Alligator mississippiensis: one gene and its partners. The protein of the gene in region 3 purifies or fractionates together with the protein of the main gene of each other region. This does not show direct contact. Links are inferred from orthologs where the notes say so. Each region holds a gene or a part of one and is shown on either strand. Other genes may lie near its edges. The genes, in order: ZFHX3, ZNF512B, CHD4 and EHMT2.

Evidence for each region.
Region 1: the proteins of CHD4 (region 3) and ZFHX3 purify together in Homo sapiens (affinity purification with mass spectrometry, with the first as the bait; 3 studies listed by BioGRID). This does not show direct contact. The link is inferred for Alligator mississippiensis from reciprocal best matches to the Homo sapiens genes CHD4 and ZFHX3.
Region 2: the proteins of CHD4 (region 3) and ZNF512B purify together in Homo sapiens (affinity purification with mass spectrometry; 4 studies listed by BioGRID and IntAct, with this or other methods). This does not show direct contact. The link is inferred for Alligator mississippiensis from reciprocal best matches to the Homo sapiens genes CHD4 and ZNF512B.
Region 4: the proteins of CHD4 (region 3) and EHMT2 purify together in Homo sapiens (affinity purification with western blotting; 3 studies listed by BioGRID and IntAct, with this or other methods). This does not show direct contact. The link is inferred for Alligator mississippiensis from reciprocal best matches to the Homo sapiens genes CHD4 and EHMT2.

The regions. Positions count from the first base shown.
Region 1 is NC_081833.1:76,505,268-76,513,111, forward strand, and holds the start of ZFHX3 (zinc finger homeobox protein 3), read left to right. Parts: upstream 1-4,844; 5' UTR 4,845-4,922; intron 4,923-7,844. Other genes in the region: PSMD7 (26S proteasome non-ATPase regulatory subunit 7), read right to left, coding at 1,256-1,348, 2,554-2,645, 4,367-4,440.
Region 2 is NC_081832.1:2,817,280-2,825,003, forward strand, and holds the start of ZNF512B (zinc finger protein 512B), read right to left. Parts: upstream 3,001-7,724; 5' UTR 1,424-3,000; coding exon 1,378-1,423; exon of another isoform or gene 1-1,377. UniProt on the Homo sapiens protein: Involved in transcriptional regulation by repressing gene expression. Associates with the nucleosome remodeling and histone deacetylase (NuRD) complex, which promotes transcriptional repression by histone deacetylation and nucleosome remodeling.
Region 3 is NC_081824.1:243,465,210-243,473,049, reverse strand, and holds the start of CHD4 (chromodomain-helicase-DNA-binding protein 4), read left to right. Parts: upstream 1-4,837; 5' UTR 4,838-4,938; intron 4,939-5,603; 5' UTR 5,604-5,678; coding exon 5,679-5,775; intron 5,776-7,840. UniProt on the Homo sapiens protein: ATP-dependent chromatin-remodeling factor that binds and distorts nucleosomal DNA. Acts as a component of the histone deacetylase NuRD complex which participates in the remodeling of chromatin.
Region 4 is NC_081834.1:62,582,774-62,590,285, reverse strand, and holds the start of EHMT2 (histone-lysine N-methyltransferase EHMT2), read right to left. Parts: upstream 3,005-7,512; 5' UTR 2,948-3,004; coding exon 2,939-2,947; intron 2,761-2,938; coding exon 2,712-2,760; intron 2,628-2,711; coding exon 2,448-2,627; intron 2,280-2,447; coding exon 2,014-2,279; intron 1,750-2,013; coding exon 1,677-1,749; intron 1,558-1,676; coding exon 1,472-1,557; intron 1,173-1,471; coding exon 1,023-1,172; intron 906-1,022; coding exon 768-905; intron 281-767; coding exon 169-280; intron 1-168. Other genes in the region: ZBTB12 (zinc finger and BTB domain-containing protein 12), read right to left, coding at 4,295-6,004. UniProt on the Homo sapiens protein: Histone methyltransferase that specifically mono- and dimethylates 'Lys-9' of histone H3 (H3K9me1 and H3K9me2, respectively) in euchromatin.

The DNA of each region.
Region 1 (7,844 bases), on a different chromosome or scaffold from region 3:
CATATTGTATAAATGAAATGCAGGGCTCTGCTAATGAACAGCACACTCACTTCCTTTGTGCACTCCCCTGAATTAACTCCACAGCACTCCATCAGGAGAAGCTTTAGTAATAACATGCATCTTGGTCAGTGAACTCAGGCTCTGGAACACCTTCCAGAGAGAGCAACCTTTATTTAAGTTGGCAAAAGGTGGACTTTGGCAGAAGGGCGTCACCTGAACTCAGTATCCTGACAGCATGTACAGAAGTAGCCACTTCTATGACAGTGATGGTCCAAATCATGATGGTGTCTTGTTACAATCAACACCTTGACATTCCTTTCTTAATCACATGAGCAGTCACATTCTGCTCTTGTCAAAGCTTCTGAGCTGTCTCAAAGGACAGTCTCCCAGAGAAAAGTGTGTCATGTTTTTGGCTGGTTTATTGCCAAGGCATAGACTCTACATTCACCCTTATATATCAGCTCTAGAAATGTAGGGCTGGAAGCGACCTCCCTGCCAGTGAGTCCAGTTCCACATTACCTATACTGTAGCCTCTCCATATTTAACTAGCCCTGATAATCTCATAAAGCAGGGATGGCCAACCAATGGCACTGGCACACAACAGATAGAGGAGATGGCAGGTAGCACAGCGGCAGACTGGGTAGGGAGCAGAAAACAGAGCAGCAGATTGGGCAGGGGAAGGGATTGGAGTGGCATGTAGGAAGGGTGCAGGGCTTAATGTTGGCATGCCTGCCAAAAAGTTTGGCCCCCAGTGTCGTAAGAAAAGAATGAGCCTCTTTGTAAGATCAATTAGCATAAATGGCTTATCAATTCAAATCTGAATTTGTAATTCAAATGTCCCCTCATAAGAAGGAAAAGAGACCGTAGCACACCAGTATGGAAGGGGTCACAACATAGTTATGAATTTCTGTGATAGCTGTTTAATCCCCAGGAAGCGTTAGCTCTTTATTTCCAAGACCTATGACATATCAGAAGACTTAGGATTTGCCTATATGTGGAAGTGGGTAAGAAGTAGTGTGAATTTAAAAGGAATACTTTTCTGCATTAATTCTCTATATGAACGTTCTGCACAGAGGGCTGAGTGTGGTTTAGGTTAATCCCGGAAAGGCACTCACAGTACAGAATAACGTGTCCGCATGAGGAAGTAGTGTGGAATAGCGTATTGTGTCTTTATCTGCACCACAACTTATCCTGCACTAACTTATCCATGACAGGTTTTAGGAAAATAGCCACTCCCGTGAAAAGCTGCACTTACCATTGACTTTTTTAAACATTCCATACATGTTCTCCAGGTAATCATGGTCTAGAAACCAAACACTGTCATCTTTATCATCCTCATCAAAGGGAACTGGAAACAAAACAGAGCTCAATATTTAGTAGTTCAAATTTTAGTCTGAATGCTTCCATAGAAAAAAAGTAAAATTTGTTTCACAAGTCCTTACATGCCAACGGGGAAAAATAATTTATTTTGAATTGACAGAGTTCAACCACTCTGCTCTATTGGGCTGCACAAACTGCTATAAAACTGAACGGCAACGTTAACAGATTCTCTCACAGAAAGGTTTTCTGATAATTACAGAATCACTTGATGACACAAGTAAAAGCAAGGCAACAGAAAAAAAAAAAAGCAAGGCAACAAGATGACGCAAGTAAAAGCAAGGCAACTTGTCAGTTTCTTTGGGTGGGCAACAAAGTGTTTGGTAGTAAATGAAACAATTCATATTGGAGTAACTGACTCAATATTGGTGGGAAAGGACTTCTGATAAAGCAAATTCAAGATCTTAACAGAACATGATAGCTCGCTGGATCAGAAGTTTGTATAATGTAAAAGGTAGTCTTCTGTATAAGGTGAATTAAGATGAACAAGCTAGACTCCTATGAAGTCTATTAAACATAGAAATCGGAGAAGTACGGCTGGGAGGGACCTCAAGAGGTCATCGAGTCCAACCCCCTGCCTGAAGTAAGACAGGTCTTGTGTCCCACAGGGGGACTGAACCTGTGACTGGCATTATTAGCACCACCTAACCAACTGAGCTAATCAACCACTCATCATTCTTGCTCTTAAATTGTAGCTTTTAAATACAGCTACAATTTAAACAAAATGTAACAGTATCCTTACAGGCCAAATGTAATTAGCTTGTTGAACTCTCACTGGGCACTGCTTGAGGAAAAGAGCTGAACTTTAAACACAATATTGGATCTTCCTATAAATATATAGCATCTCATCTAAAATAGCACCTGCTGGGGTACAACTCAAGTTACAAAATAAACACTTGTTTAGGGTAAAAAAGAAACCTCCAGCACGAACGTGAAGTAGAGCTGCTTCTGAAGTGTTGTGCACTGGATACTGCTGGGGAAAAGATGTAGAACCAGACTAACTGGAAAAGGGACTGTTTTGTAAGCAGGTAATTAGTATTCTTTGTGGCAAGGTAAATACCAGCTTTTTGACTTGATAAATGGCAAGAAGTCTTGTGGTCCACCTCAAACCAGCATCTAAGAGTCGGTATAGCCGGTAGACTGATGGGCTGTGAACAGGACAGGTCACACACTCACCTGCAAAACTGTTGGACACGTCTAATATTTTCTTCTGCCAAGAGCCCAGCAACACACCGACAACTCGCTTCTGATTCCCAACCTTTCCTATTCTAAAAAGAAAAGGCTGTCAGTTTGAATTATGGAGAACGTCTCAAACGCAAAAGAAACACCAGTGGACCAAACTAATTCATTCCACCATCTCAGTTTTAAAATTGGAAAAAACAGCACGGGTGTGGAGAGACCGGAAGTCGAGAAGGAAATACTTGTTCTGCATTGCTTACACCTAAAGAAGTCATTACCATGAGCTTTAAACCAAAGCTCTAATCTTATAATGTAATCACTCATGGATCAAACGCACGGACGCGTCCGCGCAGCTAATGGATGCAAGTGGTGGAAGTGAATAGAAGGCAACTACTGCATCTCTCCAGAACAGCAGATTGTAAAAACTGAGTCAACTTTCAAATTATTCAGTATCATCCATCATATATTTTTATAACGGTATGTTTTTCTGTTGCTGTATGTTGCCTTGAAGGGGAGAGAGGGGTGTTTTTTGGGTTTTTTTAACATCAGAAGTACTTGTCAGTTGGTGCAATTAAGTTAATTTAGGCACACTGAGCACAAATTGCACTAGACGTTTAGAGGAATATAATTTTATTCTCTGCCGTGCAAATTGTAGCTTTAAGCATAAAATTTGTATAGACCAGACAGATGAAAAGTGCCACATTTTCAATATGCTGAAAAACGATTCTTTTAAAGTCAGTCAGTTGTACCTAATAAAACGGTATTTATAACTCGTTAGCAATTTCACAATATTTGAACATTATTTTAACTCTTCCTGTTCGAGAAGAACAAATCGAATCTATTTGACAATAGCTTTTGCTTTCACACGAGCAAGAACCGTTGTGGTTGTAACTCGCTCGATTCCCAGCGTCGCACCCTGTAACAAACCATGTAAGCAGTCCCTGCTACGCCGCGCTGGCACCGCTGACTCCACGTCCACCATCCCATTTAACGGACTGGCTGTCCCAGCCCTTCGTCTACCGTGAAGACTATTACAGCTGCGTCTTACTTTGCCATAAGAAACTACCCCGCTAGTCTTGAGCTAAACGGGACGCCCGTGCACGCGGTTCCTACCGCAGGGACCGTGTGCTAAGGTGATATTTGGTCCCAAATCTGCACTCGCACAAAACGCAAAGTCATCTGCGTGCATAATCCGGGACCAAAACCGCACGTATGGGCGGCCACTGCCCAGCGGTTTCCACCCTGTGCGCCGCAGGGACCCGCAGGTTACGTCTACGGGGGTCGGCGAATGAAGACCACGATCAATTAAAAGCACGTGAATACCCACGCTTACAATTCAAGGGGGGCTGCGCCTCCGTGGGAACTTTTTTAGGGGTCTGCAAATGAAGAAAGGCTGAAAAACCCTCAAAGTTAGACCACTTATTTTTCATGAAAGCAACCGATCGGGGAAATCCAGCGTGGCGAGCCTGGCGCGGAGTTTCTACGCGCACCTACGGGGCCGAGCGCTCGGGTATGAGGCGCACGGAGCCTCAGACGTGGTTGTCCGTGCGAGGAGCAGCGAGACGAGGGTCGTGTCCAAGTGTCCAGGGGGGGGTTGGAGCCCTGCGCCGGGTCCGGGCGCACACCGATGCGGCGCTCCGTGGGGCCCAGCGCCCTTGGGCACCCTCTTGTGGCCGGGCGAGCGCAGGGGCTGCAGCACCCCACGAGGGCAGCACCCCACCCCGGCTGCCCTCAGGCCCGGCCTGCCTGGGCCCGCGGAGGGAGCAGGCCGGGCCCGTGACTCAGCGGCCGCGCCGGGGCCCGGCCTCACCTGTTGAAGTGATCCACCACGCTGAGCAGCACCAGCGGGTGTACCACCACCCGGTCCACGGCCAGCTCCGGCATCGCGCCCCCTGCTCGGCCCGCTCCGCCGCGTCTGTCCGCCCGCCCGTCGGTGCCCGCGCAAGGCTAGGCCCAGCTCCCCTCAGCACACTCCCAGCCTGCACCGCGCCGGGGCGGAGACAGCGCGACGCCATCTTGGGGAGGCGGGGTGGGAACGGGGAAGAGGGCGCCATCTTGGAGAGGTCAAAAGAAGGGAGGAGTTGAAGCGCCATGTTGGGGAGGGCGAATGGACGCCATGCTGGGGAGGGAGGAAAGGCGAGCCGGCGCCATGTTGGAGAGGTCAAAGAAAGGATGGAAGCGAGGCGCCATCTTGGGAAGGGCACAACAGCCGTTGCGAGGGAGCCCCGCCGCCATCTTGTAAGTCGGCGCCGTGGAGCCTCGGCCTGCGCCGCCATCTTGAGAAGGTCAGTGAGGCCTGTGAGCCTCGCCCCTCCTGAGGTGGCGGGGGGAGCCCGGAGGTGTCCCGCCTCCCCCGACCCGACCAGGTGTGAGGAAATACTGCCATAACACGAGGCTAATTACCCTGTACTTACCTAGCAAGTGTGATGCTGCGACGACGATTTTGGCTGAGGCGGTTTCACCGAGGTGGGAGGGGAGATGCCCTCGAATGCCGTCGGGTCCCCTTCAGGTGTCTGTGGTGCCTCTCACGCGAGGTCTCGCCTTTGCGGGGACGGGGGATTACTCCTGGGCTTTCCTCACCTGAAGACTAACGCCTCCGCGCTCGGGGCTGGCGTGTCGGATGCCCGCCGCGGGTTTGGGAGTCCGCGACGCCCCAGGCGGAAGCGTCCGGGGGGGTTGGCCATCGTAGAGGACAGTCCTGTCGCCGTCTGCTGATACCAAACCGGATGCCTTTAGGTCTGCTATTTTTCTCCTGAAGCCGTGGGTTATTCTCTTGAAACTCTGCCATTCTGCTGGGGAAAACCCACCCAACTGGACGCCTTTACGCCCGCTATTTTTCTCTTGAAGAGAAGACTAGAGGACAGAAAGGCATCTGGTTTCGTATCGGTAGAGGACAGGGCAGCAGGAAACGGGACTGTCCTCTGCGATGGCTGCTGGCCCGGGAGGTGGGAGGCTTGCCCGCTCGACGACTGACCTCTGCTCAGCTGACACACAGAATTTAAAACTCATCTGGCCGGTTTGGCCCAGGACACAAAATGAAAAAAAACCCCGTGTTTATACAGTCGTGAGCAATTGACAACTATTATATTAACGATCGATTACCTCATGCAGCATTATACACTTTCGAAGTGCTGTATTAGAGTTAAGTAATCACTCAGGGTAGATTTCGTAGCTGTCGGGGCTGAAAGGGGCCTCGTGAGAGCGCCGGGTCTAGCCCTTTGCCCGAGGCGTAGGAAGTCAGCTGGGGTCAGATCGCCCCAGCAAGATGAGCATTCAAGTGTTGCACTGATGTACCAATAACGATTTTCTTGGCTGATACCGACGGCCGATTATTAACCAGCTGTGCCAGCCGATACCGATCCAATAGCTGATTTACAGGAATGCAGCGGGCAGCTTGCACAGCAGTGCTCTGCCAGGGAGGCCGGGGGGGAGGGGAAGGGGCAGATTGCAGCGAAGGAGGGAGTGGGGCAGGGGCAGGGGCAGGCGCTGCACAGCCAGGGCGGTGAATGGGACCCCGGGGCAGGGCATGGGCCACTCATCCAGGAGGATGGGGAGGGGGGCAGTTCCCCACCACTTCATGCAGCCCCAGGGTAGGTATGGGGGCATGTGCCCCCCCCCACCCCTGGATTTGTGTGTGGGGTGGGAGCGGGCTGCCCGCTGCTGTTTGGGCCAGGGTCTGTGCCAGTCTCTTCCCAGCGGGGGGCTTTGGCTGCACAGGGTTGGGGGGGTTCAGCTGCATGGGGTGGGCGGTGGTGGTGCTGGGAGGGGTGGCTATGGGGGGGGGTTATGTTGGGAGGGGAGGCTTTGGGATGGCCGTAGACCCCAAGCCTCCTCCAGGGCCGCCCCTCCCAGTGCTGCTGCCTGCCCCATGCAGCTGAGCCCTCCCCACCTCTGCCGCCCCCAGTGCAGCCCCGGCTATCTTCTCCCCCTCCCCTCACTGGGAAGAGGTCAGTGTAGCCCCTGGCCCTGAGCCCACAGTGGGCAGCCTGCCCTTGTCCAGTGCACAAATCCAGCGGGCACGTGCCCTCCATGCCTACTCTGGGGGTGCACACAGAGGTGGAGAGCTGCCCCCCCAGTGCCCCCTCGACTAGTGTCCCACGCCCTGTCCCATTCCCTCCCTGCCCCACACCCCATCCTCCCACAGACTTATTGGCTGGATGCTGCACACAGCATTTAGCGGTGACATTATTGGCCAAAAAAACCTGATTGCCCATAATGTTAATTTTCCTGTTATCGGTGCCGATCCACTATGCGACTGATGTATTGGTGCACCTGTACTAATTACTCTTAGGAAGTGGTGAAGTCATGTATTGAATTTCATCAATTGAAATAAACACATAAGCTCAATACTGAAACAGGAGATTTAGGTTGGCTCTTAGGATAAACTTTACTATTATGGGGGAGTTAAGCACTGGAATAGATAACCTCTAGAGAGAGTGGATTTTCTGCCATTGGAAGTTTTCAAGAGCAGTCTTTTATTGGAATAATCTAGAAAGGGAAGATTTTTACTTGAGCAAAGATTGGCTATGGGGCCCTTTTGAGGTCCTTTCCAGCCCTTTTTCCCCTGAGATTGTATTACTTAATATTTTTATTAATTTTTACTTTCACCTGCGGTTGGTCTTTCCAGTGACTGCTCTCAGCTTAGGTCACAGGGAAAGTGTCTATATTTGCACAAGCTCCTGTGTTATTGTCCTTCCTATGCTTTTTTATCATGAATGAAATGCTATAGCTGTAAAGTCACAGAACAAACAGGGCTGTACATGTTAGACATCATTTGACAGTTGCATATTTTCTATCTGATGCTTAATGAAAATTATTCATATTCCTTTTGTAGACATCGCCTATGAATGGCTGGAGAGGCTTTTTTCTGGTGACATAATAATAAAATTATAATTACTAATAATATTTGGTGCTGACAGTATTCTGGTTAAGAGTCTCAAGGCCATCTAAGATATTTGTTAATTAAACCACATGGCCCCACTGCAAGGTAAATTAGTATTCTTATTCCCATTTTATAAAAGGGGAAAGCTGAGGTATAGAGACGTTATTTGCCCAAGGTCATACAGGAAATCTGTAGCAGAACTGGAAATAAAATCCAGATTTCTTCCATCCCTGTGTTTTAATCACCAAGATTTACTTTGCTGTCCAGCTTCTCATAAGAAAAAAAAATCTATTATATTTTTTCTTCTTTAGAAATTAACTGTCAAGCAAAATCTACCTACACTAGTTCTAATACCCTTAACAAAATGAATTTGCAGCCTGTCCTTAATTCAGGCTATTGATAATCA
Region 2 (7,724 bases), on a different chromosome or scaffold from region 3:
TGGCCTTGACAGGCTGGCACATCCATCCTGCAGGAACATGGCGCTTCGGTGACTTGCCCGACAACATCCGACGAGTCGGTGCCAGCCTGGGACACAGAATCCCATGTTCCAGCCCTGTACATCCTGCAGCTTGCAAGGACACAGGAACGCGCTGCCAACTTCCACTTTTTAGGGGTGTTAAAAGAACTTAACGATATGCAAGAAGTGAACAAGAAGAACAGCAGAAACGGAGGCAGCCTGGAGACCCCGGGGCCCCTCGTGGCACATCTGCCGGCCACATCTGCTCAGAAATAAAGAACATGCATAGCGCAACTAACCTCCCAACGCGCCCTGCGCCTCCACGCGTTAGATACAGACAACGAAGCACAGCGTGTTTGGAAAGACTGGGTGCTAGTTAATGCGACTAGACTCCAGAACCAGGACGGTGCCAGACGTCCCGAAATCAGGCACGAGCTGTCCCCCCGTTTTGTCCCAGTTCCATTTCCTCTCCTGGTGCCAGTCCTTGCCTGGGTTATGATCCCACCGGGCAGTTTTCTGAAGAGGACCAGAGGCTCCCTTATCTTGCACCTCTGAAATCAATGGGAATTTCCCCACTGGCTTCAGCAGAGACAGATGACGACCAGCAGTGTTGGGCTCTGACGCGCGGGTGGGATAAGGGCAGCGGGCAGAGCCTGACCTGGCTGGCTCTACAGCCAACCACATCTTGCAGCGTGGCTTGGAGGCCGTTTATAGCCCCTGAGCCTGCCTAGCCACATCCTTGCTTGTCGCCGAGCCCTGATGCACGGAGCCACTTCCTCGGAGCTGAAGCAGGGGCAGGGTGTTGTTGTTCATCCCCTCTCCGACAGCAACCGTCTCCTTCTAGCAGAGGTGTTGCAATTCCCACCCTCCGCAGACCCTCCCCACTCCTCAGCCCCCGTGGCTTTATCGGTACCCAGCCACTTCCTCTCTCAGCCCCCGGCAGCAACCTGCACGGACGGGGCAGGCTCTAGCCGGGGGGCACACGACTGCAACGATTCCTTCTGGCCTGAAGGTCTACAGCTTCCTGCTAGCTCACGTGCAACTTGGTAAGTGCACCCTTTTGCTCAAGCAGTGTGTTGAGGCCTGGCGAGATCACTGCCATTCTGCTCTTTGCCAAACCACTTCACCCTCAAAGCCACGGATTAGACTCAACACCCAAACCTCCAACAACGTTGCTGCTTCTGCTTCCATCTGCCCGAAACCCAGTCAAAAAGAACCAGAAAAAGCCCATCCCTGCTCATTCAGCAAGCCCCCTGCGGGTCAGCAAGCCCCTCTCTGGAGGGTGGGCTGTTGGACAAGCTGCAAAGCACTTAAGAGCCTGGATATCTGATCCTACAAGGTGTGCAGGCATCAACTCACGCATGCTTTTGATGTCCAGGGCATCGCTCCTCACACGGGGACACATGGAATTGGAAGAAGCCGAGAGTCCTTAATGGGACTCTCTATGTGGCCAAGGACAGTGCATTGGGCTTGAAAGCCAGCCACGTTGGGGACACCGGGTAATGCTCCGAGACTCTCCCGCTTGCAATTTTGGTACTGAAAGATTAGTCATCTTCCCAGACACCAGGGTTAGTCATCCTCCGATCGAGTGAGACATCCCAGTCTCGTCTCCACCTTCTCGGGTGCCTGGAGCTCAGCAGAGGCACCGTGACTTCCACCAGCTGAGCTTCTTGGTGTGCTTCTTTGAGCTTTATCTACGATTTGATCCCAGCAGCAGGTGGAGGCAGCCCTGGTGTGCAAGGCACTGCACAAATATATAGCATCCGACAGTCCTCACCCCACTAACTTAGATCTTCCAGGCTAGGAGACAAGAAGGAGAAAGGGCAGGGCATGATTGTGTACAAGCAACACACGAGTCTCCCATCGAACAATTATTTATCGAGTTATCCCTATCAGAGACTCATGGACAATGAGGGTGGGAAGGGACCTCAGGGGGTCACATCTAGTCCAACCCCCTGCTCCAAACAGGACCAGCCCCAGCTGCATCGTCCCAGCCCCTGAATGGGCTTGGATCCACAGACGGTGCCCAGACACCCTGCGTGGGATCTGTTTGGCCTGCTCACTTGGAGCAGTGTCGAGTCCCTTTGTCTGTGCACCCAGCTCCCCCGGCGTCACACCTGGTCCCTCGCTGAGCAAGCACAAGCCCGAGAGCCCCAACCTAGAGCCAACGCTATCAATAAACTCCCTTTCCTCCAATGTTTCTTACTGTGTGCTGCACCCCTTTGGGGCCGGCCGAGATGACCTCACGAGGTCCCTTGCAGCCCTACTTTCCTATATCCCTTGAACACACCTCGCAGTGCAGTCATCCTTAGAAAGCAAATGCAAAGGAGGGGGTAAACCAAGATGAGGAAGAAAATCAGGGTTGGGTTTTTTGTGTTGATGTGACAGAATACCGAAGGAAACCACTGAGGTATGTGCTCACTGCAACTTCATCCCCAACCTGGGATATTGCTTACATAGATCTGCTTTGGAATTTAATTTCCTTGGCTACATACACACAGGCAGACGGGGAGACAGACAGAACAGCACGGCACCGAAATAAAGACTTAACGCAAGAAAACCTGACATGGCTGGTCTCAGCCGTGAACACAAGACGGTGTAACAATTCAAAGCACTTCCCAGAGCAGTACAGTTCAGGTGTGTTACTGAATACTGATGCCATGTTTTAATTAGACATGTACTACACCAGTGGATCTCAACCTATAGTCCTCAGACCCCTGCGGGGGGTCTGCAGGCTATGTCTAAGGGGTCTGGAAAAGGTGACTACGATGAAGCAAAAGTAGGTGAATATGCACGCTGACAACTCAAAGGGGTCTGGCACCTCTATTAGAAATTTTTTAGGAGCCCACACATGAAAAAAGGTAGAAAAAACCACAGTGCTAGACCATAAAACCTCGGTGTTGATGGCAGAAATGTGCATGCTTTGATCATTTAGAATTAAGAGCTTATTATTTACTTGACAGACTGCAACGTTTCCCTTGCAACTGGTGCACGGGGGCCAGCGTGGTCCAGTGCTTAGAACAGGGGCCTGGGAGTCGGGGCTTCCCCGGCTGTCACAGACGCTCTGCGTGAACACGGCTCGCTGTGCGACACGCTGGGGAAGCTTCATGTGACGGGGGCTAAGCAAGGCTCAGGAAGGAGGAGGAGAGAGGAGCTGGGCTGAGCACAGAAGCAGGACGAACCCCCACTCTTACTCTATACCTGTTTCAGGATCGTGACCCCACCTGGCAAAAATCCCAGGAAGGACTCTCCATATATTAGCTCCAGCCGGGCTAAAGCTGCAATGAAATGGCCTGACCCCAGGCTGAGGATGCATGTCCCAGGCCCTGGAAGAAGCAGGTCACTCCAAACACATGAAGCAGCCTACAAAACTCCTGACACACGACCAAATCCCACAGTAAAACCAGGCCTAAGACACTGCCATGCTTAACTGAACTCCTAATTAGATGACAAATTACAGCAGAGGAGCTTTGGGCCAGGAGATATGCTGGCACCTGGAAAAACTTCGCATCCAAAAGCTACGCTGCGTGTCTTCAATGAAAAACGACCCTGAACACCGAACAATCGCGGCTCCTTCCATTCAACGCACCCCTCGCAGCCAACCCTGCCCTGCAGCTCTGTAACTCTCGCAGATTTTATTTCCTCCCCAGCTGCTTCTTTAAAAGCTTTGCCCTTCTCTTTAATTTAGCTTAAAATCCCAGCTAATATACCGTTTATGCAGGGCAAAAAATCTGCTCCCAACCCCACCGTGGCTTTTAGTGTGCTCACCCCAGAGCAACAGAGCAGAAACCAGCCCGGCATATCCAAACGTCTCCCTTTTATTTCCCCGCGCACACTAGATCAAGACGATTGATGACTTCCAACCTCTCTCCTCTGCTTCCTTAAGGGTGGGTTGAAAGCCAGTTTCAATTTACAATAGCAAAACAAAAATCCCCCCTGCCCAGCAGCCCCTAAATACAGTCGTGCTGGGACGTGGCATGTTAATGACATCTGAGATCGATTCAGGTGTTCCCACAAGGCGCAGAAAAGCGGGTCAGGCCTGTGATTAAGTGACACCTCACCGGTCTGCTACAGGGAAGCCCGAATTCAAGCATCTGGTCCTAGCCTGCCAGAAGCAACAGGCAGAACCAGCGCATTTTAACCGATTAATCCTTGAACTCGCCCCCCTCCGCCCTTTGGCCAACACGAGGACCAGGCGCGTCGATACGAGGTAAGCCCCCAAATGCAGAGTCCAATGAGAAGTTATTACAACGCAGAAGCCAAACGTGGGAGCAAGGAGGGAGACACGTGAGACAACACAACCTACATACACACTTCAAATTTGTTCTCATGGAAAAACGCCTGGCCTCGATGCTCTCGCTCGACAGCACGAAGCGGGATACGGAGAACAGGCCGCACTGTCATGCAGTCCCTTTGGGGTCAAGTTCATCTTGGGATAAGCTGGCATGAGTCCCATCGATGTGCAATGTATTCTACAGAGGCAAAGCTCATATCGCAGTTACTTAATTGTTCTGGGCAATGTCTCCCCTGCATCGTAAGCAGACCTACCACTGGAAGTTGCAAGGCTTCTTGGCCAGCTTCCTGGGTCCTGGTGGCCAAGACCCAGAGATTGGTATTCCAAGGAAGCCGTCGGGAAGCCTTAAAAATCTCCATCGGACAAGACGCATCAGAGGGAAAATTGTGCAGAAAAGCCTCTGCTCACCGCTAAATGCCTCCGGTCAAATGAATGAAGTTGCAGCCATTTATACCTGAGTTTGGTCCCTTCAATCTCGGCCCGTGGTTATCTGCGTGGATGCCATCAGCCACTAACTGCTGGGATCTAAGAGTCCCCAGTACATCTGTAGGACTGGAAAGAGGGGGAAAAAAGAGGCCTGCAGGTCCTTAATACGGTCCACTCCCCCTGCCCTTCCCGGGTGAAGTGCCAACCACATCGTTAAGAACATGCCTAATGTAGAACAGGCTGAGACCTCGGCAATTTCCTTCACTTAGGATGAATAATTTATGAGCTGCTGCAAATGTTCCCCGTGTTGCTCCGTGCCAAAAAGAGCCCCGAGCTGCAGAACTTGCGAGCCGACAGCAGGAGGGCGCAGGCCGGGCGCACGTGGACAGAGGGACGCAGCTGAGAGCAGCCGCGGGAGCCTCTGGATTTACCTGGCTCTCGTTAGCGCCAGAGGCCTGACGTTCACTCCGGAGCACAGCCTTTCTTCTGGCCCAGGGCAAGGCTCACGGGCCTGGACCTGCGTCGTTCCTGTTTCGCAGTCCTTTCCGCCCATCTCCCCCAAATCATGCGCCGATCTGCCGTTCGGTAACTTTCTTAGAGCCTCCCCTCTCTCTGCGAGCTGCGCGCCCCTCCGTTTTCCGCAAAACACCGCGCTTGAGGGACTCATTTCCTTCCTTCTTCAGCAGCACCGTTGCAAACGCACCCACCAAAAAGCCCCGTTGGCTTAGGAAGGGCTGGAAGTTTCTCCATGTCTCCTCGTGAGCTGTCCGAGCAGGGACCGAATGTGTCCTCGAGCGGGCGGGAAATCTGCCCAAGTTCCTTCGCAGAGGACATCTCTGGGTGCGTGGGAAGCCCAGGGTGCTTTACAGTTTCTGCTCTAGCAACTCTTGCCGCCCCCCTGCAGCCACGAAGCAGTGGCAGAGAGAGCATGTAGGCACCCAGAGGTGACGAGCGGCGATAACCCCAGGGCATGCACAGCCCTGGCCGGCGCACAGTGAACGGGTCTCGCAGAGACGCCCCTTCCCTGGCCTGGAGGGTACACGCCGCCCCGACCCCCAGGGACAGCCTGGGTCTAGTGACGGTGGAGCTGCCACGGCCTGACGCTGCCTCCAGCTGGCGGCCCGGTCTCGCCTGCCCCGCCCCGGGCTGGAATCACACGGGAGCTCCCAACTGAATGCGCCCCACCTGCGTGTCCCCACCGCGCAGCCCCACTTGGAGGTCACCTACCCGCCCTGACCCTACCTGGACATCCCTCCTGCATGTCCCCCCACCCACCTGGGTGCATCCCGCCCACCTGCACGTCCCCCACCCACCTGGGTGTGTCCATCCTGTACATCCCCTACTCACCCACCCCACCTGGGTGTATCCATCCTGTACATCCCCTACTCACCCACCCCACCTGGGTGTATCCATCCTGTACATCCCCTACTCACCCACCCCACCTGGGTGTATCCATCCTGTACATCCCCTACTCACCCACCCCACCTGGGTGTATCCATCCTGTACATCCCCTACTCACCCACCCCACCTGGGCGCATCCGTCCTGTATGTCCCCTACTCACCCACCCCACCTGGGTGCATCCGTCCTGTACATCCCCTACTCACCCACCCCACCTGGGTGCATCCCACCCACCTGCACGTCCCCCATACACCTGGGTGTATCCATCCTGCATGTCCCCTACTCACCCACCCCACCTGGGCGCATCCCGCCCACCTGCACGTCCCCCATACACCTGGGCGCATCCGACCTGCACGTCCCCTATTTACCCGCCCCACCTGGGCGCATCCCACCCACCTGCACGTCCCCCATACACCTGGGCGCATCCGACCTGCACGTCCCCTATTTACCCGCCCCACCTGGGCGCATCCCGCCCACCTGCACGTCCCCCATACACCTGGGCGCATCCGACCTGCACGTCCCCTACTCACCCGCCCACCTGGGCGCATCCCGCCCACCTGCACGTCCCCCATACACCTGGGCGCATCCGACCTGCACGTCCCCTACTCACCCGCCCACCTGGGCGCATCCCACGCAGCCCGCCCCACCTGCCCCGGCCCCACCTGCGCGTGCTCCCGCGCCCGGCCGCGTCCCGGCCCCACCGCCGGCCGGCCCTGGCGCTCCGTGCGGCCGTGCCGTGCTCGCCGCCCCGTCCGTGCCGGGCCGTGCCGTGCCGGGCCGTGCCGTGGGGCCGCGGGGCCGGGAGGGGAAAAGCAGTGAAGCAAAATGGCGACTTTTCGATGCAGCGGCAGGAGAGGCAGCGGCAGCGGCAGCGGGAGCGGGAGGGAGGGAGGGAGGGAGCGGCGGCGGGGGAGGCCGGGCGGCGGCCGGTGCTTACCTCGGTGCTGGGCGGACGGGCACGCGCCGCCCCGCGCCGCCCCGCACCCGCACCCGCACCGCACACACGCAGCGCCTCCCCCCCGGCTCCGCCGCCTCTGCCAGTTTTGCAGCCGGGAAAGAAGAGGTTGGAAAAAGCAACTTGCAACTCTCGCGTTATTCCTTCCCCGCCGGCCCGTGCCCGCGCCCGCACCCCGATAACCCCCTCCCCGCAGCGCCCGGCAGCGTGTCCCGCTCCGCCTTCCCCAGCTCCCCCGCGCCCGGGACAGCGGGCACGCGAGCGTCCAGCCGCCCCGCGGTGGCCCTCGCCCGGCTCTGGACGGGCAGGGCCCCGAAGGCAGCGTGCCTCGGTTTCCCCGTGTGCATCCCACGGGCTAGTGCAAAGCGGAGCCGGGTGTGACTGCCCGTGGCTAGAAACGGCGGCAGGTTTGATCCAGGCGTGCCAAGAGCGCCCTTGCGAGGGTGGCACAGCGTCCCACTCGCGCCACCCATGCAGTGCCTTTATTACCGCCACCCACGCACGGGTTGCACTCCCCTCTCCGGGACGTGGCAATGCCTCCCCGTTCGAGGGCACTGTGCACTAGCGTCGGCTTGGCCCAGGTAAAGGACCCGAGGCCCAGAGAAGCACGGCCACTACACGGGTAAAACCAG
Region 3 (7,840 bases):
GGTTGATACTCATTCTTTATTTCTCACTTAATTTGAAAATAACCCCCCTGCGTTAAATAACATTAAAATGTAGCCACATCTAGATGGCATTAGCAAGCACAAGACAGAGAACAGGGTGAAGACAGGATAGAGAAATACTAGTATACTAAGGTGAAACCTGTCTTTATTTGATGGCCAGTATCCAGTAAAAGCGGATAGGACTTTGAGGTTCAGACTCTTGACAGAAAAAGCTGCAGGTAGAGTATCTCTTGTGGAGCCTGGAGAGAGAAGGCACAGGGAGATCCCAAGCATGGAGGAGGACCTCAGTTAAACTCTGTAGCCAGGGATTTTAAATACACACAAAAATCTAAGGCAGTGGTTCTCAACCATGTTAGATTCAAGGTACCCCTCAGAAAATACCAGCTTAGTTTTCACTCATTTTTTGACTACAGAAAAGTAATAGAGCTATTCTTCTGTTGCAAAAAATGAAGCCACAACAGCTCTGACCACAACTGGTCAGAATGTTGTTGACACTATGGATTCCTATTTGAAATCTCGGAGTTTACCTTGTGAATCATGTTTTCACACCTAACATTGTGTGGCATCCCTTGGCAGCCTTGAAAGGATTTGAAGCACCCCAGGGTGTTGCAGCACCCTGATTGGGAATCATTCTTTTAAAACAATTATTTGAATAGAGGCCCTGCCATGGGTAACCATGGGGATACACAGACTACTTCCCCCAATGTCAGTCTTTGAGGGGGAAAGTATTATGGGGTAAATGGAGAACTGTGTGGCTGTTTCAAAAATGTACTCACCCTTTCTCCAAACTAATCACAGCCTTGATGAAGCAGGTTATTACTGGATTTTGCTGAACAGAACAATGTTAAAATGGAGTTAAGTATAAATCAATTTAATCTGATCTGGCTCTACAATGTTCCTTCATCATAAATGTTTACTTTAGCCTGTTGTCTCTACAGTGAAAAAACTTTGAGCCATGAAGAATAAAAACTGAGGTGGGGAATTACCATTCATTACAAAAATATAAACCATACTAATGTTTTGAATTCAGAATAATGAAAGATTTCAGTGAATGTTAGCTAAATGGAAAATGTGTGGAAAATGGAAATATTTTACCCATGAATTTGTTGTATATCTGTTTGATTTACATTATACCAGAGTAGCACACAGCCCACTCCAGGTCAAAGCCCCTAAGAGGGAGATTGTTACAAAGTATACATGAAACCAACTCTGGTAACTGGCTTTATTCAACCTCTGCCAGAATGTTACTTTTTAACTTGTTGATCACACCCCTAGAAGCTAAGATCTTATGGGTATATCTGGAATTCTATAATAACTAACTGTGCAGAGGGCTGGCCTGCCTGTTTACCATGGAGTTACACAGATCTCTTCAACAAATCACAACCTTAATAGAGAGTATTATGTGAAGTCAGTAGGTAAATGAGGGAATGAAAAACATTGTTGATGTCTGTGTATAAAATGTAGGGAATGGATGCTGCTGTTATTAGAAGATGTACGTATCTATACTTGATGACAGTATCACATATATTTATGTATAGAATGGAAGATGCATAGTATTCATGTTAATAATAAGTCTTAGTGCTTATACAACAGCTTTAATCTGTAGATCCTTAGATAAAGAATAATATTATTATCACTATGCAAGGGAGAAAACAGTGAGGTGAAGACCTGTGCTGTACGTGTATATTGATTACACAGATGAATAGAGTGTCATGGGACTTATATATGTACAAGAAGAAGGTGAACAGTGTAATAGTATTTGGGGTGTAAAATCAAGTTTGGGTAATAATATAAGAAGGATGTGCACGGAACTGGCTGAGATGGATCACGTAAGGGAATTTGTTCTTATAGTTACAGGATGTTGGAGCATATAATGGGTGCAATTAAGTATAATCAAAGATGGATAATACTATCAAATGTACATGCTAACAACGAAGGTCCTATTATAGAATGTCCATATATATATATATAGTGAAAGGTTTGCTAGCCTGATGGGATGTCCACGCATATAGTGGCAGGAAAGAGACAGTGGTAGGGAAAATCTGTGCATATAATGTGTGTATAGGTAGTATTATGTGATGTGTGGGATGAAGAACAGTTTGTACTGCAGTGTGGCAGTGTGTGTAACATGAAGGCCTTCAGCAGTATCCTGAGGATTCATGTGCTTCAGATACAGTATGGGTAAAATTGTGGGACATTTGTGCACGTAATGGGGGAGGAGGAAGGATGAATAGCATGATGTAATGGAGGATGGGTAACATTATGCAATGACCATGTATGTAACGAGTAGGATGGACAATATGGAATGTCTGCCTCAATAACTGGGAGTTGTGGAATGTCCTGGTAAACTGGAGCGGTTAATATTATGGGACATCAATAAGTACAATGAAGATCTGATATATTTAATGGGATGTCACTTTGTATGATGAGGGATTAATTATATTGTACGAAAGTATGTATTATTGGGTTATTTGTATTTTTATGGAATGCCCATGTCATTATAAAGTGATGATTAGTATGACTAGTAAGGAAAGGACAATGCTATGAAGCGTCTAATAAAAGATATCACATCTGCCCAAAGAACCTTGTCTGCTTATGTCCTTAGACCAGCACGGCTACAACCAAAAACCGAAAACTCTAAAGTGTCTCAAGCCTATAAACAGGAAAAATGTCTGTGTGTAATTGGGATATGGGGAGTTTTATGAGTGCCACTGTTTATAATGGAAGGATGCCTTGTATTATGGGCTGTGTGTGCCTGACCTGGGATAAATATTCTTAGAGCATTTACATGTATAAAATAAAGTGATTAGAGTTGGGATTGCATTCTGGGAAATCTGTGTGCACTGTGAAGGGGAAGTAGGGTGTTCTGCATATACTGGGAGGGATAAGTAAGTAGCATGCCAGTATGTACCATGGGATAACAGAAGGAAGGGAAGAATTACAATACGAGATGTTTGTATAGGGAATGAAAGGTGTGAACAGTAATATGGGATGTCCGTAACAACAAACATGCATGTGCGCGTGCACACACATACACACAGAAGCACTCGATGAATGCTGGAGTGTACAAGGAACAAGAAATGCTATCATGGGCAGTCTGTGTGTATACTGGGAGGAAGCAGGATACCATTATGGCACAGCCATGTTTCTAGCATGATGGGATGCTCGTGTCTGTGGCCAGGAGCAGCTAGCATAATGGGAGAGGGTATTTTTGTTCATTTGTTTGTTTTTAATTTATAGCCGAGGCCAAATTAACCAAAACTAATTCCAGATCCAAGAGTCCAGAACCATCAGTGGCTCTACTCCACCCACACTTCGGGCTTCAGATGTTTCCAAATCCTTTGGTAGGCATCCTACTTGCAGGCCCAAGCCTGGAGAGTTGGGGTTTGGATGTCCCTGAGTTTTGCCTGCCTTTAGCCAGAAGGCCCTTGGTTGCAAGGGAGGAGACTCCCATTTCCATAAAGTGGGCTTAAAGCCACTGCACCTCAGCAGGTACTGAACCACGCCAGAAGAGCAGTTCTCCCGGGGTGTGGTTCAGGAAAACTGCCTTCATGGACACAGATATATGATATTTCCCCTGCCAGGTTAAGAAGCCACTACACTTGTCCTGAGCCATGAAGAGGCTAGCACAATGGGACATGAGGTTGGTAGTGGTTCACAGGCACAGCTCTGCACCATGGGCTGCCATGCCTTGTGGGTGCAGTGCTGGATGCTGGACTCCCTTTGAAGAGTGGGTGAGCTGATGACTGTGAGACGTGTGCCTGGAGGTCAGCTAGCATGGGCTCGCTGCCTGGGTGCGTGTTGGAGGGGCGCTGAGCACTCTGGGGTATGTGGAGTCTGCATCATCTGGAGGCATAAAGAATCCTGGCAGGCTATGCCAGAGTATTATGGGCTGCAGGCTGGCCCCGTGCCCCCAGTGGTTACTATGCTCCACATACAAAGGCGGGGAGGGGGCCTGGAAGTGAGCGGTCAGGGGTACAAGGAGGTTGGTGGGCAGTGGAGGGGCCCAAGTACCGTGGGCTGTTAGCTGGCACCCTGCTCAGCCTGGTCCGCCTGCATGGAGGGGGGACATATGAATGCGATTATTATGGGCTGCTTGGCTGGAGTGAGGGAGCGGGCAGTGAGTGCGAGTATTGTGGGTTGTGGCTAAGAGTTGCTGAGAGTATTATGGGATGCCGGGCTGGACCGTGGCTCCCGGCTACTATTATGGGATGGCTGGCTGAACGCAGCATGGGTGGGGGAGGAGGTGGAGAAGGTGACTATTATGGGATACATATCAGGGGGCATGACTATTATGGGATGTTATGGGGCTATTGTGGCACCTGGTAGTAGGGGGCTTGAAGAGGGGGCAGGGCTTATTATGGGATGCCAGGCCAGGCAGTGACAGGATACCTCCGTGAGGGGGCGGGGGGTTACCGCAGGATGTGTAGGTGGGGGGGAGGAACTATTATGGGTTGGTGGGGGGTGGAGGTGGAGGTCTGTGGGGGGGAGAGTGTGGAGGTTATTATGGGATGTCTCGGGGAGGGAGGGTGAGGGTGAGGCAGGGGGCATTATCGTGGGTTGGTGCAAAGGAGTATTATGGGATGTTGGAGTGAAGGGGTTAGAGTGTGGGGAGTATATTATGGGATGTTTCTCCGAGGAAGGGTTCTATTATGGGATGTTCCTGATGGAAAGGGGGGGAGTTGATTATTATGGGATGCAAGGCCGGGCAAGTGAGTGGGGAGTTCTGAGTGGAGGGTAAATATTATGGGATGTCTGGTTGCCCGGGTGACAGGGGCGGGGCTCGTTGCCGAGGTGCCGGAGCATATTATGGGATGGAGGTGAGAGTAGGCGGGGCCTGGCTGGGGTTTTTTTCCCCCCTTTAAGAGGCGGCACCGGGGCAGGAGCCATTTTCCCTTCAGCGGCGGCGAGTGGGACTGGGTGAGGAGCCGGGAGAAGACGCGGCCGGGGGGGTGGCAGGGGGTGCCGCCCCGGGTCCCTCGCGTGCCCGCCCGGCGCCCCGTGGGGCCCCGCGCCCGGCCCAGCCTGCACGGGGCGCACCTGCCGCCCGGCCCCGGCCCCACCGCGACGCGGCACCCGAGCGCCTCCTGCCCCGCCCGCCCCCGCCGGCCTGGACGCGGCCTTTGTTGTCCCCCGGCCACGCCGCGCCGGCCGCTAGGGGCAGCCCCGGGGGCGGGGCCGGGGCCAGGGCCGGGCGGGGGAGCCCCCTGGGCCGGCGCGGCACGGCGTGGTCGGGGACTGGAGGCGTGGGCCGGGCCTGCCGACTGGCGCGGCTGCTGCCCCGGGCCCCTGGCGCTGGCCCCGGCCCAGGCCGCCTTCTCGTCGACAGGCAGAGCCGGCCCTGGCAGGCAGGCGTGCGCCCGCCGGCCCCAGGCGTCCCCTCCGGGCCGTGGCGCGGCTCCCGCCAGGCAGGACTCTGCTGCTCGGCTTCGTTGCCGGGGGAGGATGGGGGCTGGTACCCGCGCGCAGCCGCCCCCTTCCCAGTTCTCCAGTCCGCTCCCCACGTGCTGCGGGGGGGCAATCCCTTCTCTGCAGGGTGGGTCTCCTGCCGGCTGCTGTAACTTACTTTCCTTCTCCCTTTTCAGGAAGCTGACGGGCAGGAGGAAGGAGACAAGGCTGCACGAGCTGTGTAAGCCCTGGTGTCCCTGCTTTGGGAAGACATGGCATCAGGCATTGGTCCGCTGTCACCCTGCTCTGCTGGTAGCGATGATGATGAGATGGAGATCCTGCTGAACAACAGTATTCCTCAGCATCCAGGTATGGATAGCACTGTCAGGATCTCTGCTGCGGCAAGCTGTGGCTCTCTTCTGTCTTGGTCAAGTCAGTGGTGCTGTGGGAGACAGTGGCAGGAGAAACTTGTATTGTTCGGAGGATTTCGCGTCTGATTGGAATATTTGGGCCTTAATGGTTGTTTTTAAGAGCGGCTGGTCCTGCAGTTCAGTGAGGTGAAGTTTCTCATTGCAAGCTGTTGCTGGTGGGTGGGAACATGTACCCTGATGGAGCCACCCACCGCCTCTAGAAGGTGCACACTTCATGGCTGGCGGGAGGATTCTGCGTTGGGGCAGGGTGTCGGGTTTGCACTTCTTCACTTGGGAGCTTAGACCTGCTAGCGTCCAGAGCAAACTGCCCTGGGCTATTGCATGACCCAGTTTCTTTACCCACCACACCCTGTTCTCTCAGCTTCTCCTGGATCCTGCTCTGCTGCTCCCCTTAGCCCTCTCTTTGTTGCAGTAGACGTACTGACTGCAGTGTGGTTGTAGGATGCAATCCTCTGGTGTATTAACCTGCAGTCCCTGTATCTGCCTCTTCTTTGTAAACGTAGTCCACGTGCCTCACACAGAGACTGAGAGCTAAAGAGACTGGGATTTATAACTGCTACTTCATTCCCAGCATTGTTACTGTATAGATCTCTACCTCTTCTCTCAACCTGTAAAACAAGGATGAATGTGTATCCTGGAGTAGTGGGTTGTAAAACATGAGCCTGAATTTGCTTCTGAACTGCCTTTTCACGCCATAGGTGAAAGGTGGCAGCAAAGTCTTGTCAACAGAATGCCATGGTATGGCTTATTATGGCCAGTTTGTTTTTGGGGTCCTCCTAGTAGCTGCAGAGCTCTGGAGAAATCTCGAGGGACTGGGTGAGAGTGAAGCAATGGAAAGAAGCTGAAAAATGGTGTTCCAGCATCTCCTCCTGAAGAGGGTATCTGTGAGCCTAGGAAAAGGAAGCCTTGTTAGGGTCGGGGCCAGGCCCCTCATTGGTTAAGTCACTGGGAAGTTAAGAAGCTTGGGCAATGTACTAAATGGTGTAGGGACATCAGACAGTTCTAAATCAGAACTTGCTGGAGGGGTAGATTATGGAGCCCACACTTGTGGGTAGGATTCAGTAAATGTTGCTGGATGAAGGCATACTTATGTCAATTAGAAATGTGGCAAGAATACTCTCTCTGCCCAAAGATACAGGATCCCAGGCTGAGCACTTCCTTTCTCTCTTGTCCTTTGGTTGTTGTGACTTGTGGCTTCCCCCATCTGGCTTAGCTCCTGTGGTCAGGAGGCCATTTTCCCTTGGAGGGAGAGCGAGTGACTCTGTAATGGGCGGGGCGGCAGGGGAAGGCGAATGGTTGGACTGCTATGGATCTTGTCACAAAGGAAAAAGCTGTCTGGCTGTCCATGCTCCTCTGGGCTTTGTGTGGGGGGAGGGGGAACAGATGGGAGTGTGTGGGGGAGCTGGCAATGCATTACAGTGATGAGGGATTGAGCTTGCTGACTTGTGCTTGAAGAAGGGTTTGTGGATCCTGTTGCACTGGATTTCAGCGAGTTTGCCCTAAGCAGCAACTATGCAGGTGGGAGAGAGGCAAGCAGCAGATGACAGTTTTGATCTTTGCTTGCCATTGCAGGGTCTCTTGTGCTGAAAACATTTTTATGGGAGATCTTGGGATGGAGCCCATGCTCTGATTCCAGCCTAGCTGGTCCTTGGACTTTCTGCTGTGTTGTAGTCTGTCTATCCCAAAGACCAAGGTGTGGCTCCCTCTCTCTCTTCCTTTTCCCTCCCCCCACTTTTCTCCTGTGCCACTTTGCTGGCCACATCTGCAGGACTCGGCAGCCCACTTGCTCAATCTTTGCTATGTCTGCTGAGCTAAAGAACTTTCTAATCCTCAAATATTTCATGTGGCTCTGCTCAGAAAAGTGTCACTGAGACAAAAAGAGGGGATGGATAGTGATTTTTTGCGGGGGCGGGGGGGATGATAAGGAGGGAACACAGGGTGTATTGGAGCTATTACTCTCTTATTCAGTGTGGCATAATCTGACTAGCCAGACTTGTTTCGAA
Region 4 (7,512 bases), on a different chromosome or scaffold from region 3:
AGGAGGGATATTTGAGTTCTTGGGGGCCCCCCAGCATCTGACTTTCCCATCCTGAGACCCCCCCCAAATCCCCTGCCAGGGGCACTGCACCCAGAACCCCCCTAGGATCCTCCCCCTCCCCAGTCCCCTCCTAACATTCCCCAGAACACCCAGAACCCTCCCCCCCACCTCGGGGGTCCTTGGGGCGGGGGTCCTTGCGCTTGCGTTTGCGTGACGGCTTCACCCAGGGGCTGTCGCTCTTCCAGCGCTTCCGCGCCTTCCGCTTGGTGCTTGATGCGCTCTGGGGGGCAGGTCAGGTGAGGCAACCCCCCAGCCCTGCTGGTGCCCCTCACTCCCAGTCCACAGCCCCCTGCCCTCCCCAAGCCCCTCACACCCAACCCACAGCCCCCAGGCCCTCTCATAATCCCTGAAGTTCCCCCACCTCCAATGCCCACCCCATCCTGACCTGTGCCCTGTGACCCCAGCCACGCTCTCCCCTTAAGTCTCCAACACTCCACAAACCAAACCCTCAGCTGTGGTCTCTGACCTCTGCACACCCAAGCTCCCATGCTAGGCCTTTGACTCCCACCCTCACAGGCCATGCACCCCAGACTCTGAGCCCTGACCTTTGCTGAGCTCAGGCCTGACCTCTGACCCCATATCCACACGCAATCTAAGCCCTTGAGCCCACTCCCCAGGCCCCTCCTCCCTATCTCTGACCCCATCCAGCCTCAGCTCTGGAGTACACCGCTCCACCCCTGGTGACCTCGACCCCACCAGGGCCTCACCCTATCTGAGGTGTTCCCGGACTCTTCATCCTCATCATCGTCGTCCTCATCGTCTTCCTCCTCTTCCTCTTCCTCGTCCTCCTCTTCCTCCTCCTCCTCCTCTTCACTCAACTGCTCCCCAGCCCCATCCGCCTCTGACTGCGGGTGGGGCCCAGCATGGTGAATCCAGGTGTCCAGGCCTAGCCTGACACCGTCCCCCAGAGCCATCCACAGCTCCTGTCCCTGTTATGCCCAGCCCAGCCCCCGCGCCCCCACCTTGCTGTCCGAGTCATTGTGCCCATCCACTGAGTAGCTGTCGTAGAAGAGGCTGAAGTCGGCTCCCACCTCGGCCTCCCACTCATCGGGGCCCCGATCCTCGCCCGCTGGCCCCAATGGCCGTGCTGCCATCTCCTCCGTCACCGTGATCTGGGGGGCAATGGGCGGGGGGGTCAGAGCTCGGCCCAGGCTCCCAGCTGGACGGGGACCCAGGCGCCCAAGAGGGAGAGCTCCCAGGTAGGGAGCTCAGGTGCAAGGGGAGGGTGTCAGAAGAAGGAAACCCAGGTGTCTATGAGGAAAGAAGGGGAAAAATCAAGGGAAAAAGGATCCAGACATTGCAGCGGTGGGGTCAGGAGTAGGTAACCCAGGTGTCCAGGATGCAGTGGAAGGGAAGGCAACCAGGTGCCTGGGGACAGGGTTCAGGGGACCCAGGCATATGGGGCAGGTACCTCAGTGCTGGCACGGGGCAAGGTGGGCGGCAGGCGCTTGTGCAGGGACTCAGGGCCGTAGTCCAGTTTCCGGCGCTTGGCGGGTTCTGGGGGGATACAAAGGCATGAGGGAGGTGGCAGCCACTCTCACGGTGTCCCTCACTTCCAACCTGCAGCCCCCCCAGCCCCACTAGTACCCCTCATTCCCGACCCGCAACCCAGATACCTGGCTCCTCGATGCTACGGAGATCGTCGGAGACGCGGAAGTGCAGCATCTCGGAGACGCGCTTCTCTGGCACCTGGGGGGGGCAGCAGGCTGGGACCCAAGCATCTGGGGCACCCCCCAACCTCTGCCAGCCCTTGCCCCCCACACCCAGCCAAATGTATCCCACAAATGGGACACATGCATCTGGGACCCCTGCCCCCCATCCCACCGCAGAACCCCTGGGAAGAGCCCAGGCATCTGGGAGACCCCCCCACCCACAAAGAACAGGCTAGGGAAGGAACCCATGTGGCAAAGGGACCCCCACCTCCAGAGGAAACCCAGGCATTTTGGCACCCACCTGTCCGTTGCCGGGCTTGGCCATGGTCTTGCGGGCCCGGTGCACCTTGGGCTTGGGCTCCGGGCTTGGGGGTGCCAAAGGCGGGGCCTCAGCAGGGGCGGGGCCCATGCTGGGGGCAGGGCCAGCACCCGGCAGGCTTAGCAACCGCATGGCCAAGCTCTGCACCGAGGGGGGCGACTTCCCTGCCCCGGTCAGTGACATCTTGGCCCGGCTCGGGGGCCCCCCGGGCCCCACTGGCGGTGACGGCAGGGTCTTGGCAGCGTGGCCTACCGGGGGGGAAGGGAGTGAGAATGGGGCCAAGGACCCAGGTGTCCCCAGGAGTTGGCTCCCTTCCCTCTCCAGCCCTACCGGTGCCCCCCACTCCCGACCCGCAGCCCCGGCCCCCAGCCCTGCCGGCGCCCCCCACTCCCGACCCCCGACCCGCAGCCCCTCACCTGGCAGCCCCCTGCCCCCGGGGCTGGCGCCGGCTGCGGGGCTGCTCTCAGCCTCGGGCTCTTTGTTGCTCCCAGACACCTGGGTCCTCGGTGCCACCTCGTCCCCACTGGCCCCTGCCTCGGCAGGGCAGAGGAGGGCGGAGGGCTCTGGGGGGGGGCCCTGGCCCATGGGGGGCTGCCCTGGGGGGGGGGGGGAGATGAGTAGGGGGAGGGGCTGGGGGCTGGGAGGAGGAGTGGGGGCGGGGGGCTGTGCCCCCATCTCACCTGCGTCCCCTGCGTCTGCGGCGGCCTCCAGCGCCTCCGGCAGCTGCTCCTGGGGGCGGGGGTGGGTCAACCGCCAGCCCCGCCGGGACCCCGGCGTCCCGGCTCCTCGCCGCCCGGCCCGGACGCCCGGGTCCCCCCCCCCCCCGCGCCCGGCCGCCGGGTGCTCCCACCCCCCCCGGGCTCGCGCCCCCCCGGGCTCCCGCTCCCCGCCGGCTCCCCGCGCTCACCGCCTCCATGGCTGCGGCTGCAGAGCTGGGGGTGGGGGTGGAGCGACGGCGACACGTCACGACGCTGACGTCACGGCGAGCGGGAGCCTTAAAGGCGCCGCGGCCCCGCCCGGAGCCCCGCCCCCCCGGCCCATTGTTCGGGTCCACGTGGTGCCGGGCCCCCCCCTCCCCGGTCGTCCGCGCCCGGCCCCGCCCCCGCAGACCACCCAAGCGGCCGGGCCCCGCCTCCCCCCCAATAAAAACGTCTCAAATTTTATTTCCTTTTGAATTATTTTAATTAAAAAAAAAGTTAAAAAGTCTAAAAACGGTTAATCCTCTATGGCCCCGCCCCCCGGGCCCAGGCCCGCCCCCCACCCCAGCAGGGTCTAGGCCCCGCCCCATCTAGCCCCGCCTACCACGGGGTAATACCTCTTACTACTGCTACTGCTACCGGAGCCCCCAGGCCCCGCCCCTCCGCGGGCTCACGTGGTTATTCTTTGGTTGATGGCAACTCGCCCCCCCTCCGGAGACCCCAGGCGTCCGGGCCCCCCCATTACACCCTCAACTCCGCTTCACCCCCCCCCCCCCCAGTCCTCTCCAGCCGCGGGACCTGCACTACCCAGGGGCCAGACTCCTGCACGCCTGGTGCCTCCTTCCGCCGGGGAGTCGGGACCCTGGGATCTCGACCTGCTACGGGACCTGGGCACCGGGGGTCTCACCCATGCACCGGACGCCCGGTTCTCCGTCGCAGGGTTCCCAGCCTTCTTATGCTGAGGGCCGGCAAGCGACCGTGGACCGGCAAACTGCGGACCAACCCCAACCCTTGTTTCTACTCCGCGTAGGGAAGGGTTGGCTGCCAGTCTGCAGGATCCCCATCATTTCCAGTCCGCAGTTTGCCGGTCCGCAATCACTTCTGGTCCGGCAGCCAGCCCGTCCCATCCTAGCACCGGGCTGTGGACCGGGGGTTGGGAACCCCTGCTGTATCTGCTATGAGGTCTGGACACCTGGGTTCTCTTCCCATGGCGGGTCCGGGCACCTGGATACTTGGGTCCTCTGTCTGCTGTGGGTTCTGCACTGCCATGCCATCCAGGCACCCGGATTTTCTACCTGCTACGGGATCCGGACCCCGGACACCCGGGCTCTCCACCCTCAGTGGGGTCCAGGCACCCGGACACCTGGGTTCTCTACCTGCTATGGGATCCGGACACCTGGGTTCTCTACTTGCTATGGGATCTGGACACCTGGATGTGTGGGTTCTCCACCCACAGCAGGGTCCAGGCACCCGATGCCTGTGATCTCTACCTGCTACGGGATCTGGACCCTGGACACCTGGGTTCTCCAGGCCCCTGGGCCCCCCACACCCCACCCAGCCCTGGCTCAGCGGACGAGCACGTTGATCTCGGCCACGCTGGCTTCCAGCACGTTCTCGGCCGTAGTCTTGCCATGCTGCTCCTTGAGGTGGCGGCGGATGGCGGGTTTGTGAGCGAAGCGCACGTCGCAGTAGGAGCAGCGGTAGGGCCGCAGGCCGCTGTGCAGGTTGAGGTGGTCGTGCAGCGTGGACTTCTGTGTGAAGCTCTTGCCGCAGACACCGCACGAGTGGGACTTGACGCCGCGGTGCACGTTCATGTGCCGGTTGAGGTTACTGCTGTGGTTGAACTGCTTCCCGCAGCGCGGGCACATGAAGACAAAGTGCTGGGCCCGCATGTGGAACACCAGCTTCTCCACCCCTTGGAAGGCCTCGCCACACTTGGCACAGCGCGCCGGCCCCCCGCCCGCACCCCCGGCCCCGTGCCCACCCCCGCTGGGTGGCCCGGGCTCCAGGTAGGCCCCCGGGGGCAGCAGCAGGAGCCCCTCGCCCTCCGTGTCCTCTGCCAGGGCATAGCGGGCTTTCACCACACCTGGCACCGCCTTGCCTGGCTCACCTGGTGCTGGCCCGGCCGCCTCGGGGCCCGGGTCCTCACCCTCGCCGTCACCGGGGCCCTCCTTGGCCCAGCTGCCCTCCTTGGCCCACGCCCCTGGTGACGACCCCTCCTTGGCCCACGTCCCTGGCGACGACCCTTCCTTGGCCCACGTCCCCGGCGACGACCCTTCCTTGGCCCAGTTGGACGGTGATGACCTCTCTTTGCTCCAGTTGCCCGGCGACGACCCCTCTTTTGCCCAGTTACCTGGCGATGACCCCTCCTTCGCCCAGTTGGCCATGGAAGACCCTTCTTTGCTCCAGTTGGCCATGGCTGACCCCTCTTTGACCCAGTTGGCTGCCGATGTCCCCTCCTTTGTCCAGTTGGCCGCCGATGACCCCTCCTTTGTCCAGTTGCTTGGCGACAACCCATCCTTGGCCCAGCTGCCTGTGGAAGACCCATCCTTGACCCAGTTGGCGGTAGAAGACCCGTCCTTGACCCAGCTGGCCCCTGCTGCCCCATCCTTGGCCCAGGCAGGCTGCAGCAGGTGCTGCTTGCGGTGGCGCTGGGCCACCTCATAGGCTGACTCCACCTTGACAATGCAGATGTCGGACACGGCATCCTCATCCCCGTCATCCTCCTCGTCATCATCGTCCTCATCCTTGGGCTCAGGCTCCTCGGCCAGGCGCAGCTCCAGCTTGACAGGTGGGCGAGGCTTGCGGGGGGCCGGTTTGGTGTGGCGCAAGGGGGCTGGGCGCGGGCCCCCGCCTGCCCCTGGCTTGTCCTCCTTAAGGCCGATGCGGGGCTCAATGAACTGGGACAAGGCATTGCGGCACTTTTCCACCACATGTTCCATCTGCAGGTAACTGGCAGCCGTCAGGTAGTTGACTACATCGCGGACGGCAAACTCCAGGGCACCCGTGTAGCAGGAAAGCAGCAGGTCGGCCACAATGCGGGCGCTGTGGACCAGCGAGACCTGCAGCTCGGAGCTGGGGTTGAGCAGGAACTGGTCGCGCAGGAAGGGTGAGCAGGCTGCCAGGATCACCTTGTGCCCCCGGAACTTGAGGCTCTCGGCCACGATGGTCACGTCGCAGAACCGCTCCTCGGCCCGCAGCTGGTTCATGTTGCGCAGCGTGGCTGCCTCGTGGCCTGGCAGCTGGAAGCGCAGCAGCTCCGGCCCCGATGCCATTGTTGCGCCCAGAGACGGGGCCTGGGGGGCCGGGGTGGGGATGCTGGGGGGACCCAGGGGCTTTGGAGGGGCCGAGATGGGGGGTTGGATGGACCTGGGGAGGTGAGGGACTGAGATGGGGTTGCTATGGGGACCCGAGGGCTCTGGATGAGTGCAGATAGGGATTTGGGGGAACCTGGGAGGGTTGAGAGTGGGCGAGCTCGAGCGGCTTGGGGGTGTCTAGAGGCCTGTCTAGGGGAAAGAAACGGGGGGGCTTGGATGTGTCTGAGGGGGGTTCAGAAGTGGCTGGGGGGGTTGGGGGCAGCTGGAGTGGCTTGAGGGGCTCTGGGGCAGGCTGGGTGGTCTTGGGGAGGAGTCTGGGGGGCTGAGATAGGGGTTTGGGGGGCTTGGAGATGTCTGGGGACAGGTGGGTGGTCTTGGGGGGCAGGAGATAGGGGTTCGGGGGGCTGGATGAGTGCGGGCACTGTTGGAAAAAGCTGGAGGGGCCTGGGGGGGTTGAGATAGGGGCTCTGGGGGAGCTAAGATGGCAGGTTGTGGGGAAGTGGGGGGTTTGGGGGGAGCTGGAGCGGCTTGGAAGGGCCTGGGGGGCTGAGACAGGGGTTTTGGGGGGGCTTGGAAGGGTGGGGGAGTCAGGGGCAAGAAATGGGTGAAGGAGTTGGGGCTGGGGGGGAAGGAGAGGGGCAGAGACGGGGGCAGGGCTGGAAGGGAATGGGGGAGCCAGGAGAGTGGAGATGGGGTTTGGGACGCACTGGGGAAGATGGGGGTGGGGGGGCCCAGGAGGGGCCAAGCAGGGGGGTGCAGGCAGCTGGGAGAGCTCCAGGTGGCCGACAGTGGGGTGCACCTGATGAAGCTGCAAGAGAAAGGTGGGGGTCAATAGCTGGAGCCCCCAGCCCCTGCCCCATTGCATGGATGACCCCAGCCCCTCCCCCTCGCTACACAGACCCCCCCCATCCCTGCCCCCTACTGCACGGACCCCTGTCCCAGCCCTCCCCTTCACTGCGTGGACCCCCCCAGCCACTCCCCATTGCATGTCCCCCCATTGTGGGACCCCCTGCTCCTCCCCCTTGCTGCATGGAGCCCCTCCACCCCACTGCATGGACCCCCCCAGCCCCTCCCCCCATGGCACGACCACCCCCCTAGCCCCTCCCTCTATTGCATACCCCCCAGCCCCTCCCCCTATACGCCCCCCTCCGCCGCAGCCCCCCCTGACCGGGCGCGTGGGGGGGCCGGGTTCCCCCCGCCTCTGCGAACCGGGAGGCAGCTCCGGAGCGAGCGAATTAAAGGGGCCGAGCGAGGCCGGGGCCCCTTAAAGGGACAGGGCGCCCACCAAGGGGGGGCGGTTATTTGTCCGCCGGATAGAAATTGGACACAAGGGAGAGGGGGGGTCTTAAGGGGGCGGGGGGCGGGTTGAGGGGGGGCTGCGTGGTGCATTGTGGGAAGAGGCTTTGTGTTGGCCTGAAAGCAGCGTGGGAAGTGGGGGCGGGGCTGCCCCGGTGCATTGTGGGAGC